Canis lupus familiaris: one gene and its partners. The protein of the gene in region 1 interacts with the protein of each later gene in a pairwise test. Links are inferred from orthologs where the notes say so. Each region holds a gene or a part of one and is shown in the gene's direction. Other genes may lie near its edges.

Region 1 (4,180 bases):
GCTCTCCTCATCTCAGTGAATGACGCCACTGTCCACGTGCCTGCCCTCATTGGAGACCTGGGTATTATCCTGGCCTTTTTCTCCTCACCACCACGTTCACTCCACAAACATTCCCTGAGCACCCCCTGGAGTCAGGCTCTGTTGTGGATGCTGGGACATAGCCCTCAACAAGTTGGAAGTGGTCCCTGTTCTTTGAGTGTTCGACTCTGGTAGGGGGAACAGACCATAAAAGAAGATAGAGATTATAGTGAACCAGTGTTGTGGGCAGTGAAGGACAAGTGGAGTTGGGGTATGATCTCTCTGGCAGGGCAAGCAAGGAAGACTTTTTGGAGGAGGTGCCATCTGAGGTGAGGCATGAGAAGTTAGAAGAGGCCAAGGCATTCTGGGCAGAGGGAACTGCAAGTACAAAGGCCTGGAGGCAGGAGTAGGTGTGGATGGCTCACAGAGTGGCTAGGGGACCAGGATGGCTGAAATGGAATGACCTGGGGGTGGAACAGTGGGAGGGGGGGTGGGGGTGGGGCGAGATGAATGGAGAGGCATTGGCAGGGCCATGAAGAACCAGTTTGTCCTGGGGTTCAACTTGTAGTTTGTTTTCAGACACTTTCAGCAGGGAGAACCTTCTGTTGAAGGAGACCCCTCTTGCTTTTTGTGGGAAAGGAACTGTGGGGATCAAGAGCAACCATAGGGGCAGCGGTTTGTCACCGCCGCCGCGTTGCCTGCCTTCCTTCAATCTGTCCTGTCCCCTGCCTTTGTCTTCTCATCTGGGACCTGCAGCCCAAGCTCTAAGGCTGTCCTCACTCTACCTAACCAGTACCCCCAGGTCCCCCCATGGGCTGTGCCTCTCACTACCCTGTGGCTTCAGCCACCCTGGTCCCTCTGCTTCTATCTTTCCTCCCCCTCTGGCCTCAGTTGGAAGGTCACACCCTTGGGAGGTTCTCAGTTCCTCCTAAGCAAGTGTCACAATGCAGGCACCCTGTTGGGCCACCTGTGTCCCCAGGCCCAGCCTGGCGTATGGTAGAGGGGCACAGTGCCTGCTCTTTGGATGCGCGGGCCTCTCTGCAGCCCTGGTGATGAAGGCGAGCAAAATAAGTTATTCGTTCCTTTGAGCACTCTGGGGACCTTGGGGCTCCCTGCCAACAGCTGTCCCCCCCCCCCCCCCGATTGTGTACCTGGGGAAGAAGATGGGCCTTGCGAAGCCCAGGAAAGCAACATTTAGTGAGCAGAAGGGACCATGTAGGGGGTAAGAACAGGTTAGAATCCAGGCTCGCCTCTGCTGGCTGTGTGACCTCAAGCAGGTGGTGCCAGGTTTCTGGGTGTCACTGTGTATCTCTGTCAAAGAGAGAACGTGTACCATGTTCCGCTTCGTGGTATATATCCCCGGCAAGGAGCATATGAGAGGGTGCACGGGAGTTCCTCAGCCCGGGCCTGGTCCACATGCGCATGAGCTCACACCCACTGGGTGCTGGGTCCCTAAGAGGCCTTCTGGACCTCAGCAGGAAGAGGGCACAGACAACGAAAGAGAAACCAGGAAAGAGATTCTCGTCTGGACTCTCTCTGATTCTCTCTCTGTCCTGGCTTTACACAACAAAAGTGGTGTATTTTGTGGAACTATGAGCTCTAAGGCCGGTGCTGCCCAGCGCGCCTGCTCAGCAGGGCCCCTGTCAGCACGGCGCTGTCCTGCAGCCCCGTCGTCCCAGGGGCTCTAGGCAGCGGCTCCAGACAGAGCCTGGCGCAGCCTTGGGCCCCCCTCGTCCCCTCACGGAGGGGTAGCGCAGGTGGACCAGACTACCTTTCTTTGATGAGTTCAGTCACCGTGCAAACCCGGGAAACTCCATCGCCCCCTGGGGCTTCCTCACGCCCCTCGTGTCCAGCCCGTCCCCAGGCAGCCATTACGTGTTTTCTCTCACCGCCTGCGAGGATTTAAAGTAAGTGGGATCCCGTGGGACGGGATACGCCGTCTGTTGTCTGGCCCCTCACCTGAGAGCCCCCCGTGCTGCCGCCGCGTCAATAGTCATTCTCATGGCTGAGGGGCCTCCGGGCTGTAGGTGGACGCAGCTCTTGTTCCCGTTCACCTGTTGAAGGACATTGGCCCTCTCTCCGCCTGGATCTATTTACAATAAAGCTGCAGTGGACATGTGCCTACTTGTCTTCACAAGGACGTACGGTTTCGTTTCTCTTGGGTAAATACCTAAGAGAGGAACAGCTGGGTCTGAAGCTAGGTTTACCGGTGTGAGAGCCTGCCAGACTTTACCAAAGTGCTTATCCCATGTTAAGTCCCCAGGAGTAGTGGACGAAGGTTCCAGATGCTGCATGTCCTAAGCCACGGGTTATGAAAGAGCGAGAAAGAAGAAACAGCAGCACTATGCCATGTCCTCAAGCCACAGGGGAGTTCTGGTGGTTGCCAGCACTCAGCAGTATTCCCTGAGTGTGAGTGGGCACCCTGCCTCAGGCAGAAGAGCAGGGTGCGTCAGCATGGGAAAGGCTCTGGGAAGGCTGCAGCGAGAGCCTACAGGTCGTCTTCACCTGGCATCTCCCGCTTGACTCAGTCCTGGACCGTTGCCCTGCATTCCCCTTTCCTGCAGAGCACCCGGTTGGCCCCTGTGATGTTCACTTTGGAAACTGCTGTCCTTGAGGAATTCCCTGGGGGATAGAGATCAGGCCTGAGTCTCTGATGTTCAGGGATGTGAATAGGGTTCCTGTGCCGAGGGAGGCTGGCGCTCTCACCCCCCACCCCAGGCACCTGGCTGGGGAACTCGCAATGAAAGCAGTGTTCCTCCCCCACCTCCGCCCAGGTGCTCATCTGCCGGAATTACCGCGGCGACGTGGACATGTCGGAGGTGGAGCACTTCATGCCTATCCTGATGGAGAAGGAGGAGGAAGGGATGCTGTCGCCCATCCTGGCTCACGGGGGTGTCCGCTTCATGTGGATCAAGCACAACAATCTGTATCGTATCCCTTTGCGGGGGAGCCCCCAGGGGCCTTCCATTTGGGCTTGTGCATGTGCAGGCCCAGGGCTGGTTCAGGCACACCCTCCTGGAGCTCCCCGCGGCCTGAGGAGATGAGCAGGGAACAGACAGTAACAAGTGTGATGGGCGCTGGGAGAGGAGAGGGTATGGCAGGGGACCTCAGGTAGTCTGGGGATCCAGGAGGGCTTCTCTGAGAAGGGACACCTGGAGGAGACCTGCAGGAAGACCATGTATCCACTATCCAGAGCAGTGGGCAGACACCAGGAGCCATAGGCCTGGGAAAAGGCTCTGCAAAGGGGAAGTGAGGCTTATTCTGGAAGCCACAGTAGGGGTGGCTAGAGCATCGGGGGAGGGGGAAGGGCAGGCAAGTGGGGTATGGTGGGAATGAGGCCCAAGTGGTCAGCAACACCAAGGGGTCTCATAGGCCGTCACTTTTGACAGGAAGCCTTTGGAGGGTTTCAGGCAGATGGGGTGACATAAAATCAGATTTGCGTTTTCTGAAGGTTCCTGGCTGCTGAGCAGAAGCCAGACTGTAGGGGACAAGAGTTAATGTGGGGAGGGGACGAGGAAGCTGGGGTCATCCCTCGAGCCTTGCGTGCACATTACAATGAGGGAGGTCCTGGCCTGTGACCCTCGTCTGGCCGCCTAAGGTCCAGCCCCTGTAGCCTCTCTTTTTCCTTCCCCTCTCTCCAGAGGGCCTGTGAGGGGCAGCTCTACAGAGTACCGCTGGCAGCCTGTAACCTGGGAGTTGGCTGTCTGTGAAGCCACCCTGGGTCTGGGCGGTGGCTGCCCAGGTGTGCAGGTGGTGGTGGTGTGAGCTCAGTAGGAGCCGTCTGACCAGTTTCCAATTGGGTCCCAGTTTCATGCTTGGGCAGCCAGGGAGGAGATGGCAATGGCTCAATCCCTTGGGGTGCTGCTGCATGGCACCCCCTTCCTGCTCCCTAGTTCCGCTGTTGGGTAATAGTTTCCAGCAGGGTAAGGCCATGAGAACTGAAGGTGCCCACTACCCCTCCTTAGAAAGTGCCTGACAGGCATGTGGTCCCAGGCTGGAGGGAGGAAGCCAGCACTGCTTCAACTAGCCCAGCATCCATTTTCTGTGTCTCCACTCTCTGCAGGAAGTGTGGTGGACTGGCCCCTGCCATCCCTTTCACCTGGCTCTCATATCACAGCACTAGGGCCACAAGGCGTGTCATGACCGGGCACATCCAGGGCAT
Region 2 (4,640 bases), on another chromosome or scaffold:
AGCTTATCCTTCCTCTAAAGATATATTCCCTTTTGGGTCCCAACCTGATGTTCCAATTCGGCTCTCATCCTGCCTGGACCTAGGTAGGTGTTCCTATAGCTAGTAGTAACATCATTGTTTACCTATCTCCAAAGATGATTTTCAAAATACTTATCAGCATAGCACACACCCTAAGCAATCAGAACAGAGGCAGACTGTATCCCTGGATAACTTCTCAACTTCAACTCTAACTTCCTAGGCTTGCGTTTCTGCTTTCTTCCTGGCCTCAGATGATTTTTCCTGATTTCCTCACAAGTTTATCTACGTATTGAAAAGGGTGCTTTCAATATCTCTCCTCTTATTTTAATATATTTTGTTGCTGTCATATTTGAAGAGTCCTCGGTTTCGTTAGAAATAAAGTCTGAGGGACGCCTGGGTGACTCAACGGTTGAGCGTCTGCCTTCGGCTCAGGGCGTGATCCCAGGATCCAGGATGGAGTCCCACATTGGGCTCCTTGCAGGGGGTCTGCTCCTTCCTCTGCCTGTCTCTGCCTTTCTCTCTCTCTCTCTGCCTCTCATGAATAAATGGATAAAATTAAAAAAAAAAAATCTGAGTAAGAAATGTTAGGCACATGTAATAAAATATCCAGAGGTAAGCTAGAACTGTAGTTTAATGTCACATGAGACCTAGGCTCTTTCAATCTTTCCATTTTGCCAACCTTAGCATTTGCTTGTCCCATCATAGGCACGTGATGGGGACTGAACTTCCAACCTTCAAGTCTGCTTAGGGGAAGGAAGAGAATAAAAGTGGCAAAGCACTTGAGCATACTCAACTAGAAGTCCTACTGGACTTTCTTTTCTTTTCTTTTTTTGTTTTTTTGTTTTTGTTTGTTTTTTCTTTTCTTTTTTTTTTTTAAGTATTATGGGCTAGAAAAAAAATAAAAATAAAAAAGTATTATGGGCTAGGAGTTGGTCACATGACTATGCTTTGTCTAACCACTTGGCTCATGAGATTACTGTGAATAGTTTGGACTAACCATGAGGCATTCCTCCTAGTAGCAGTGAAGATCTACCTCCCCTGAGATCAAAGGGTCTCTTCTGGGACCTGAACAAAATGAGGTTTTTCTTAGAGGGACCCAGCACAGCGCCTGGCACAGATGGAACTGTTCCTGTCCTTGTACATTCCCTGAGCATCCACTACGTGCCAAAGGCCCTCGGAGACAAAAATGGATTCGACACGGCCTCTGCTAGGCAGCATGAGAGAGATCAAGTCTGAAAAGGGGTTAGGACTCGGTGTCAGCTCCCTCATTCCCAGCACCGGCCTCACCCGGAGTCCCTGAAGACAACTGACCCGCGCCAGGTTGCACTGCGCAGGAGTAGGGCGGCAGCAGCGCGCTCCCCTCACGCCCCGCCCCGCAGGAGAGTCCCGCATGCGCACAGCGTTTTCTCTCTGACGCACCCCCGGAAGCACTGGCAGTTTCGGGGGCGGAACCGGGAAGCGTTTCCGGGGGCGGGAGGTGCAGGCTGAGGCGGTCGCGGCGGCTACGGCTTGAACGGGCCTGTCGCTGGCGGCGGAAAGTGTCCCGCGGGCGGGTTATGTGAACGCGGAGCCCTTAGCAGGTACGGCGAAGTCGGGACGACAGGTAGCGAGGGGACAGGGAGGGCAGCCGGGGAGGTTTAAGGGCTTCCTCCGCAGGTCCCGGCGCGCGCGCGCCCCCCGGCCCGGCAGGCCCGTTCCGCAGACCGGGATGCTCAAGAAGCCGCGCTCGGGCGGTTGGAGTCCCCGCGCCCGAGGCCGACTCCTGCGGCCTCCAGCCAGCCCGGTGCGCGGGCCGCGACACCCAAGGCCCCCGAAGCAGCGTCTCGCCCAAGGTCACCCCGCGGCGGCGGACCTCGGCGGGCCGGAGCGCTTAGAGATCCCGCCTGGGAACGTCCGCCGGCCTTTCGGGGGCGCCGTGTGGGTGCGGCGAGGCGGCCTCGGGTTTGAGCCGAAGCCGGGAGACAGGCAGCACCCGGCCTTGGCTGGTGCCTGCCTCCGTTTGCTTCTAAGTAGTGTTTCCCCTCTGTTGACGTCTCTGTCACCTGTTGTCACCTGCCCTTTCTGCCTCTGAACTCCGCCACTATCGACTTTGTATTTCTCCCCAGTTTCTCTTGCTGAGCACACATCTCTATCTGCACCCCCCCCCCTTTTTTTTTTTTCTTCTTCTGTCTCTACTTTGCTTATGTGACTCTTGACCCTGTGTTTCCCTCTCAGTCCTCACTCTCATTCATGGCCTGCCTGCCTGCCTGTCAGCCTTGCTCTTTGGCCGTCTGTGTTTCTGCCAGTTTTGTGTCTTTCTCTCTTGTTTGTGCGTCTCCTAACTAGGTTTGTCTGGGCGGAGCAGGGCAGGCTTGCCCGGACCTCTGAGCCATGCAAAATGACTCATGACCCCGTGAAGCTTCCTGCAACTGGTGACAGTCTCAGTGACTACACTGCAGTCTGGCCTCAACTCTGACAGGTGCCGCCCAGCCCAAGTGTGCCGGTGCAGGAACGCCTCGTGGGAGACAAACCAGAGACCATCTCAGGGCCAGAGTATCTTGATACATACTTGTCTTTTTTTTTTTTTTTTATGCATGGCTTTCTGGCCTGCACAACCCTCCACTTCCCTTTGCTCCAGCCCCTTACCCCAGGATGGCCTCCGGGGCTCTCAAGAGCCTGCTCTTTGCGTTACAGCTGCTGAACTAGACCTGTCCACAGGCTAAGGAATAGTCAGTCTAAGATTCTCTGCCTCATGGGGCTCATGGAATAGCAGGATTTCTGAGAAAGCTGTATGCATAGTTCAGAGATTGTGTCAGTATCTACAGTTAAATGATAAGAAACCTAATAATTTGGGATTCATTCTTTTCTTTACTAAAGTACTCACCGGAGAAGTAAACCAGACACAAAAGAACAAATATCTTATGAGGCCACTCATGTGAGGTATCTAAAATAGGCAAATTCATAGGGACGTACGTAGAATATAGCTTATCAGGGCCTGACAGGAAGAGATGGAGCATTATTGTTTAACGAATACAGAGTTTTAGTTTGGGATGATGAAAACAGTTCTGGAAATGGATAGTGGTGATGGTTGCACAATGCTGTGAATGTGCTTAATGCCACTAATTGTACACTTTAAAATGGCAAATTTTATGTGAAGTGTATTTTACCACAGTACAGAATAAAACCAAACAACCAAACAACCCAAACTGCTCTTTGGAGAAGCTTGGAACTAAGCAGCTCTTTGAAAATGTGATTTTAAAAATTTATTTTGTGTGTCTTTGGAATATTTAGTTGAACCTACGTTTGTTGATACCTGCTTTTGTCATAGCTAATGTCCTCAGAAAAGGAGTTCAGTTAAAAGAATTTGCTTAAAATCTTCCCTTAAGCTTTCTACTTGTGGCAAATTCCTGCCCTGGCTCTTCTCCCTCCATGTTCTTGGATTCAGTGTAGGCATCTGCTGCAGACCCATGGGAAATTTGAGGAAAGATTTTACTTTTTACATAAAGAAAACTTTAGGGTTGGAAAAATAGCCCTGTTATTATGATAATGCAAAATTATGTGTCATTTCCTGTGTGTTTTCTGATGGGGGAGGCCTTTATGTTACGTTCTCTTATTTAAGCTATCAGGTTGCCAGTATGGTAGTTTTTCAAGCTTTCTTGTGAGATATTGCAGCTGAATTAATACTGTATTGAATCCTAATACCATTGATTGTTTTCTGTACCACCAAAGGAGAAAAAAACACCGTCAATTTAGCTATGACATGTGCTTTTTTAATCATTTAGGCTTATAAAAATTCTTAGTGAGAAAATATTTTTAGACTTATTTAGACATTTTTAAATGACATCATTCTAATGCTAAATAAAAAGAAAAATAAGTGAAATAAATTGGCTAAAGTGTTTGTTAAATTTTTAACATTCCTACTCTTTTTGAATACTTCTCAGTTCAGAGTTGGGTCCATACTTTTCCAGTGTCCTCTTTTGTGCCTTCAGAAACACTGATGTGGCTCTCAGGAATGCTCTATCATTGTCTCAGGCAGTGACAAGCATTAAAATTTCCACTTGGCCATCATATCCTGATTGCAGAAATTTTGAAATATGCCTCTTAAAATCAGTCGAATGTACTCTACGTTTTTATGAACTTTTATTTTTTCCCTTTTTTTTTTTTTATGATAGTCACACAGAGAGAGAGAGAGAGAGAGAGAGAGAGGCAGGGACACAGGCAGAGGGAGAAGCAGGCTCCATGCCGGGAGCCCGACGCGGGACTTGATCCGGGACCACAGGATCGCACCCTGGGCCAAAGGCAGGCACTAAACCGCTGCGCCACCCAGGGATCCCATTTTTTCCCTTCTTTTTATTTACAGTTGGAAAAGAAAGATTTTTGTCTTATTTGTAACATGTTGAGGAAAACATCTTTCCTTTATTTTGTTGGTTTGTAGCTAATCATTTTCCTGAAACTGAGTGCTATTTCGGCCTTCTGCTTTTCTTGATTTGAGCTTCTTAACTCCAAGTGCTAAGGAATTTGAGAGTACATTTAAAACCATGTCTTTGGGACACCTGGGTGGCTCAGTGGTTGAGCATCTGCCTTTGGCAGATTGTGATTCTGGGGTCTTGGGATGGAGTCCCTCATTGGGCTTCCACAGGGAG
Region 3 (4,941 bases), on another chromosome or scaffold:
ACCACCATGGCGCCTCAGTGCTTCACGTAGTTGGTTTTTAGGGCCTGTATCACACTTTTCCACACAGAACACAACTTACAGACAATGTGTTTAAGCACAACGATCAATGAAAGTATGTGGGCATGAAAACAAGCAGGATGACCCACAACACCACCAACAGTACTTACTTCCTACCGTACAAAATTGTCCAAATTTGTTCTGGGAGGCCACGCGAAGCCCATTGTCCAGCGTGGTGACTTTGGTTTCAAACTTTTCTTGTCCGTCGACTGTAGCAAAAACAGGCTCAGGCACTCCGGGTAAGGGGGAAGAGAGTGGGACGTGGGGATAGGCACCACCACCACTGAACTGTCTGCGCGAAGGGGCACCGGACCTAAACAGAGGTTGCCCAGTTACAGCACACCTGACACCTCGGAGCCTGTGGTGAGCACCCGGGTGCCCACAGTCACGTTTTGTCTAAGTTAAAACTCAGTGCATCCCGTTCTGTGGATTTCTACACACCCTGAGACGACACACAGGAGTGATCAGAGCCCCACTGCTAGGTACAAATCCAGGCTCGGCCCAGGGGCCTGCAGCAAGTTGATCAGTTCTTTGGGCCGAAATCAGTTCTTCGTCTCTCGTAAAAGACAGTAGTGACAGCACCTCACTGTGATGCGGGTTAACCTCTCATACACAGCCCCTCTAGGGTCCACACACAAGCCAAAGCTCTCAACGCCCTGTCCCCCAGCTGTCTTAGAGCTCTCCCCACCCCACCCCCAGGGCCCCTCGTGGTGGCCTGCTGGCGGCACCCTTAAACACACTCGGTCCTCACCGCAAAGCAGCTGTTCTTCCCGGTCTGGCCTGGCCTGCTCCTACCTGCGCCTTCCCCGCGGCTGCCCCTCCTCCGTTCCTCGTCTCTTGACTTACCAATGCCACCTGCTCGGACAGGCCACCCTCCGCACGCTGCCTGAAGCCCCTGTCCCGCTACCTGCCGCCAGACCGTCCTTCCTGAAGCTGGAAGCCTTCACGCGACCGCTCCCGCTTGGTCCGCGCGCCCGCCGCCGGGGACCAGGGAGAGGCCCCACCAACTATGGCCTGGGAGGGCTTGCTCGCCGCCAAGAGGGCGGGAGGGCGGCGGGGGCGGGGAGCGCGCGGCGCCTGCTGCAGTCGAGGCGGCACCGAGGCCCCGCGGGCTCGGCCTCACGACGGGGCCCCGCGGCAGGACCGGGCCGGGGCGGAGAGGACACGTGGCCTCCGACCGCCCCGTCGGGCCGGGAGGACTGGGCGGGAGAGGGTCCAGCGGCCCGGGAGAGGACAGGCGGATGAGGCTCGGAGCCCGGGCCCGGGGGTCCCGGCAGGGAAGCGCCCCCAGCGCCTCGGAGACGAGGCCGGGGTCCCGAAGCCCCAGCCCGAACCCGCGGCGCTGCGACTGCGCGTGGGGAAGCCAGAGACTGAGCGTTCGGGCGGACGCGCGCCGCCCCGGCCCCCGGCGCGCCCCCTGCTCACCTCAGCCGCGAGCAGCGCCACGAGCCCGAGCCGCGAAGCAGCACCCGCGCCGCCGCCACTACCATAGCCGCCATCTTGGGCCTCCGCCCCTGCTTCTGTCGTCACTTCCGACCCCGCCCTCGAAGCCCCGCCCCTGCGGCGTCAGCCCACGGCGTTCGGTCGCGCGCTTCCGGTGCCGGGAGCGGAAGCCGCGGCGAGAGGCTGGGAGCGGCGGCCGGGCTGCGGGCGACGGGGGCGGGCAAGTCGGGCCGCGGCCGGGGTGGAGCCGGGGCTATGGAGCCGCTGCTGCCGGGCTAGGGAGGGCCGGCGCCGCCGGGCCCGCGGCGATGGCGGGCTACGCGCGCCGCCCGGGCGTCCCTCCGCTGTCGCGAGCCCGGAGCCTCGTCATTCCGGACGGTGAGCGGCCGGGCGGGGCGGCGGGGCCGAGCCCGCCGGACCCCGGGGCCGCCCCCGCCTCGCCGGGCCGGGCTGCAGGTGAGGCGGGCCGCGAAGAGCGCGGCCAATCGCTCTCGTTGTTATTGCAGCTCCAGCGTTCTATGAGCGCCGGTCTTGTCTCCCCCAGCTAGACTGTGAGCGCCCCCATGGCAGGGACCTGGACTCCCACTTCTTCGGCATTCGGCCGACGTTTATGTGCTATGTGCCCAGCCCGGTGCTAGCTTCCGTGGGAGACACAGGTGAGAGACAAGCCTCAGGGAGCCCCGAGCTGGCTGGGCCTGTAGGCTGCTTGCTGTGGCCTTAAGTCCCCCCTGACCCAGCGACTTAGTGTGGCCTTGGGGCGCTCCCCTCCAAGTACAGACACTCACTGTAGGCTGGTAAGTGCCCAGCAGAAGCCCCACAGACCACCTCCTTCCAGGAGACCCTGGCAGCGGCTGGGCTAGTTCATCCCGCTCTCCCTGGAGCATTCAGGCTGCCCTGCAGCCAGGGCATAGGGAGAGCTAGGTGGTTGTGTCAGGGTCTCAGGAGAGTGGCCACCTGTGAGGGTATTCAGGAGGTATCTCAAGACACAGGAGGGCCTGCGCTACCGAACACTGCTCATCAAATCCGACAGGGAGCTTTTTCTGAATCACAGACGCCAGGGCCCACGGAAGCCATACCGTCTCCATGGGCAGGAGCCCCGGGGCCTCGGGTTTGAAAAGTTCCCCGGCCTGTGAGAATCATGGCAATAGAGACCCCGTGTTGGAAAAAAGTTGTCACAGGGGCCTCCATGATCATGGTCAAGCAGTGACGTCTCTTTGCAGATTTTGGCTACGGAAAGGGGAAATGTACTAAGCAAGGTCCTCCTGGAGCCCAAGAGACACATTTCGGAGGTATGGTGGTTGAGCAGTCCTCTCTTTCCCTCTCCCCAACACCTAGTACCAAGCACGTGCCCTGTGCTGGGGTGTCAGTTTGACAGCATATAATTCGTCTGCCAAGTGGGGTGGAGTCCGAAGGATGGACTCTTGACCCTAGGGTAGAAAGAGGGTACGGGGATGGGAGAACCTGAGACGTGCAGGACACAACATGGAAAGTAACAGTAGAGGGGTCTGAGGAGCCTTCACGGGCTCAGACAACAGGAGTCCGCTTTACACAAGGCTGGCACCTGGGCTTAGATGGCTGTGGACTGAAAGGGCCACGGTGTTACTGGTTAGGAACCAGGAGAGCTGGAAGGATGGATGGGTGAGCAGGGAAAGGACAGAGGTGGAGCACTGATTCCCGATGTAGCTGTACCATTAGAACTCTGACGGCCCCTAACACATATTGTGCCCCAAGCCAACTAACACAGTCTGTGTGGGAGTAGAGGCCCATTGTCCTCCCAAAGATCCCGAGGGTGGTCTCCGTGGGCAGCAAGGTGGGGGAACCAAGGGGTTGGGAACAGGAAGGAGAATTCATAAGGGAACTATACTCCTGTTACCGGGCTGGAACTCACAAGCCCAAGCCGCTCTACTGACTGAGCCAGCCAGGTGCCCCAGGAAGGAGAATTCAGAGTGTGGAAGTACATCTCTTTTATTGGCTAGGTTTTTCGTTTCCTAGAATCAGTGCGAGCAATAAGGGTGAAGTCCTGATTTTAGATGTGGTCGTGTTCTAGAAAAAAAATTTTTTTTGTTTTTGTTTTCTTGTGTTCTAGAAAAATTAAAGTGGAGCTTCCTTTTTAATGATTTTCAGGAGACGTTTTGCAATTGTGTTGTATGATCCTGTTTCAGGTGATAAACTTGAAGATCTTACAGAGGCCAATCCGTTCTCCTTTAAAGAGTTTCTGAAAACCAAGAACCTCACCCTGTCAGGAGAGGATACAGCCAACAACAGGATTTATTCAAAGGTAGATCCAAGGCATCATCTGCAATGACTATTCACAGAAAAACATCCAGAGGACCTCTCTCTTCCATCGTGGGAGACATGGCAGGAGCTGGGGGAGAAAGGGAGCCCGCCCCTCACGCTGGTGGGAAAGTTGGGTAGAGAAGCTGCTGGGAGCCCTCCTCTTCCCTGCTAGACAGGACAGGGCCTTTTGTTCCACTGTTGAGCACCTTGGAAGATAGGTCGCTAGCGGTTACTGAGTCTGAGCTGTGCCTCTGACTGTTTTCTTTAGGAACCCACAAGACACTCACTGGGACTCAGCCGCAACTCCTCAACTTCCCAGACTGTGGGGTATGGCCTGGAATATCAGCAGCCATTTTTTGAAGACCCTACGGGGGCTGGTGACCTTCTGGATGAGGATGAAGACGAGGATGAGGACAATGGGTGGAATGGGGCCTACTTGCCATCCACTGTGGAACAGACCCGCTCCTCAGGGGTCGCCACCAGCACGTCACCTTGCAGCACATATGTCTCCTTTTTCTCCACTCCATCGGAGCTGGTGGGGCCCGAGACCCTGCCTCCGTGGACACTGAGCAACTCTGACTCTCACACCTCTCCAGCGGGGAGCCCCAGTGCAGACTTTGTAGCTCACGGAGAGTCTCTGGGGGACAGGCATCTCCGGACACTGCAGATAAGCTATGAAGCAGTAAGTGAGAGGGCTCTGCATCTGTGCCTGGCCAGCACCTCATGTCTGAGCAGACAACCTGGAGCCTCTAAATGGCCTTGGGGGCCTGGGGTCTTGGCTCCAGGGACAAGATGGTCTGCTAGAGTTCCCATGTGGCAGTCCTCTGAGTTGGTGGATTCCGTACATGGTGTGCCACCAGAAGAGCCGTGTGCGGGGCAGCGAGGTGCAGCCCCTCTCAGGCCCCTCGAAGGCCACCCTTCAGGAAAGGGCCCGCTCAGGGACATCTCGCTGTGTTCGGAGTAGAAGTTTTTTTTTTTTAGAAATGATTATCACCTAAAAGAGGAGTAAAACTGGCCTCCGTGATCATAGGCTTTTAAAGGGAGAGTATTCTATTCATGGTTATCTTCTGTAAGTGAACAGTATGTTGACTTTCCAGAATATTCTTTCATCAGTTCCAGAGCCAATTTGCAGAGGTACAGACTCCTTTTCAGTGAGATACAGTT

What was found. The genes of interacting proteins can lie anywhere in the genome.
Region 2: the proteins of AP1M1 (region 1) and ZBTB43 interact in binary tests that used the Homo sapiens proteins (3 or more experiments, as listed by UniProt). The two-hybrid records come from large-scale screens. The link is inferred for Canis lupus familiaris from reciprocal best matches to the Homo sapiens genes AP1M1 and ZBTB43.
Region 3: the proteins of AP1M1 (region 1) and ENTR1 interact in binary tests that used the Homo sapiens proteins (3 or more experiments, as listed by UniProt). The two-hybrid records come from large-scale screens. The link is inferred for Canis lupus familiaris from reciprocal best matches to the Homo sapiens genes AP1M1 and ENTR1.

Annotation. Positions count from the first base shown.
Region 1 is NC_049241.1:46,694,280-46,698,459, reverse strand, and holds part of AP1M1 (AP-1 complex subunit mu-1), read left to right. Parts: intron 1-2,792; coding exon 2,793-2,949; intron 2,950-4,180. UniProt on the Homo sapiens protein: Subunit of clathrin-associated adaptor protein complex 1 that plays a role in protein sorting in the trans-Golgi network (TGN) and endosomes.
Region 2 is NC_049230.1:56,548,017-56,552,656, reverse strand, and holds the start of ZBTB43 (zinc finger and BTB domain-containing protein 43), read left to right. Parts: upstream 1-1,439; 5' UTR 1,440-1,598; exon of another isoform or gene 1,599-1,621; intron 1,622-1,941; exon of another isoform or gene 1,942-2,550; intron 2,551-4,640. UniProt on the Homo sapiens protein: May be involved in transcriptional regulation.
Region 3 is NC_049230.1:49,080,671-49,085,611, forward strand, and holds the start of ENTR1 (endosome-associated-trafficking regulator 1), read left to right. Parts: upstream 1-1,740; 5' UTR 1,741-1,808; coding exon 1,809-1,878; coding exon of another isoform or gene 1,879-1,956; intron 1,957-2,006; coding exon 2,007-2,156; intron 2,157-2,720; coding exon 2,721-2,789; intron 2,790-3,662; coding exon 3,663-3,778; intron 3,779-4,045; coding exon 4,046-4,459; intron 4,460-4,941. Other genes in the region: PMPCA (mitochondrial-processing peptidase subunit alpha), read right to left, coding at 168-370, 1,483-1,556. UniProt on the Homo sapiens protein: Endosome-associated protein that plays a role in membrane receptor sorting, cytokinesis and ciliogenesis. Involved in the endosome-to-plasma membrane trafficking and recycling of SNX27-retromer-dependent cargo proteins, such as GLUT1.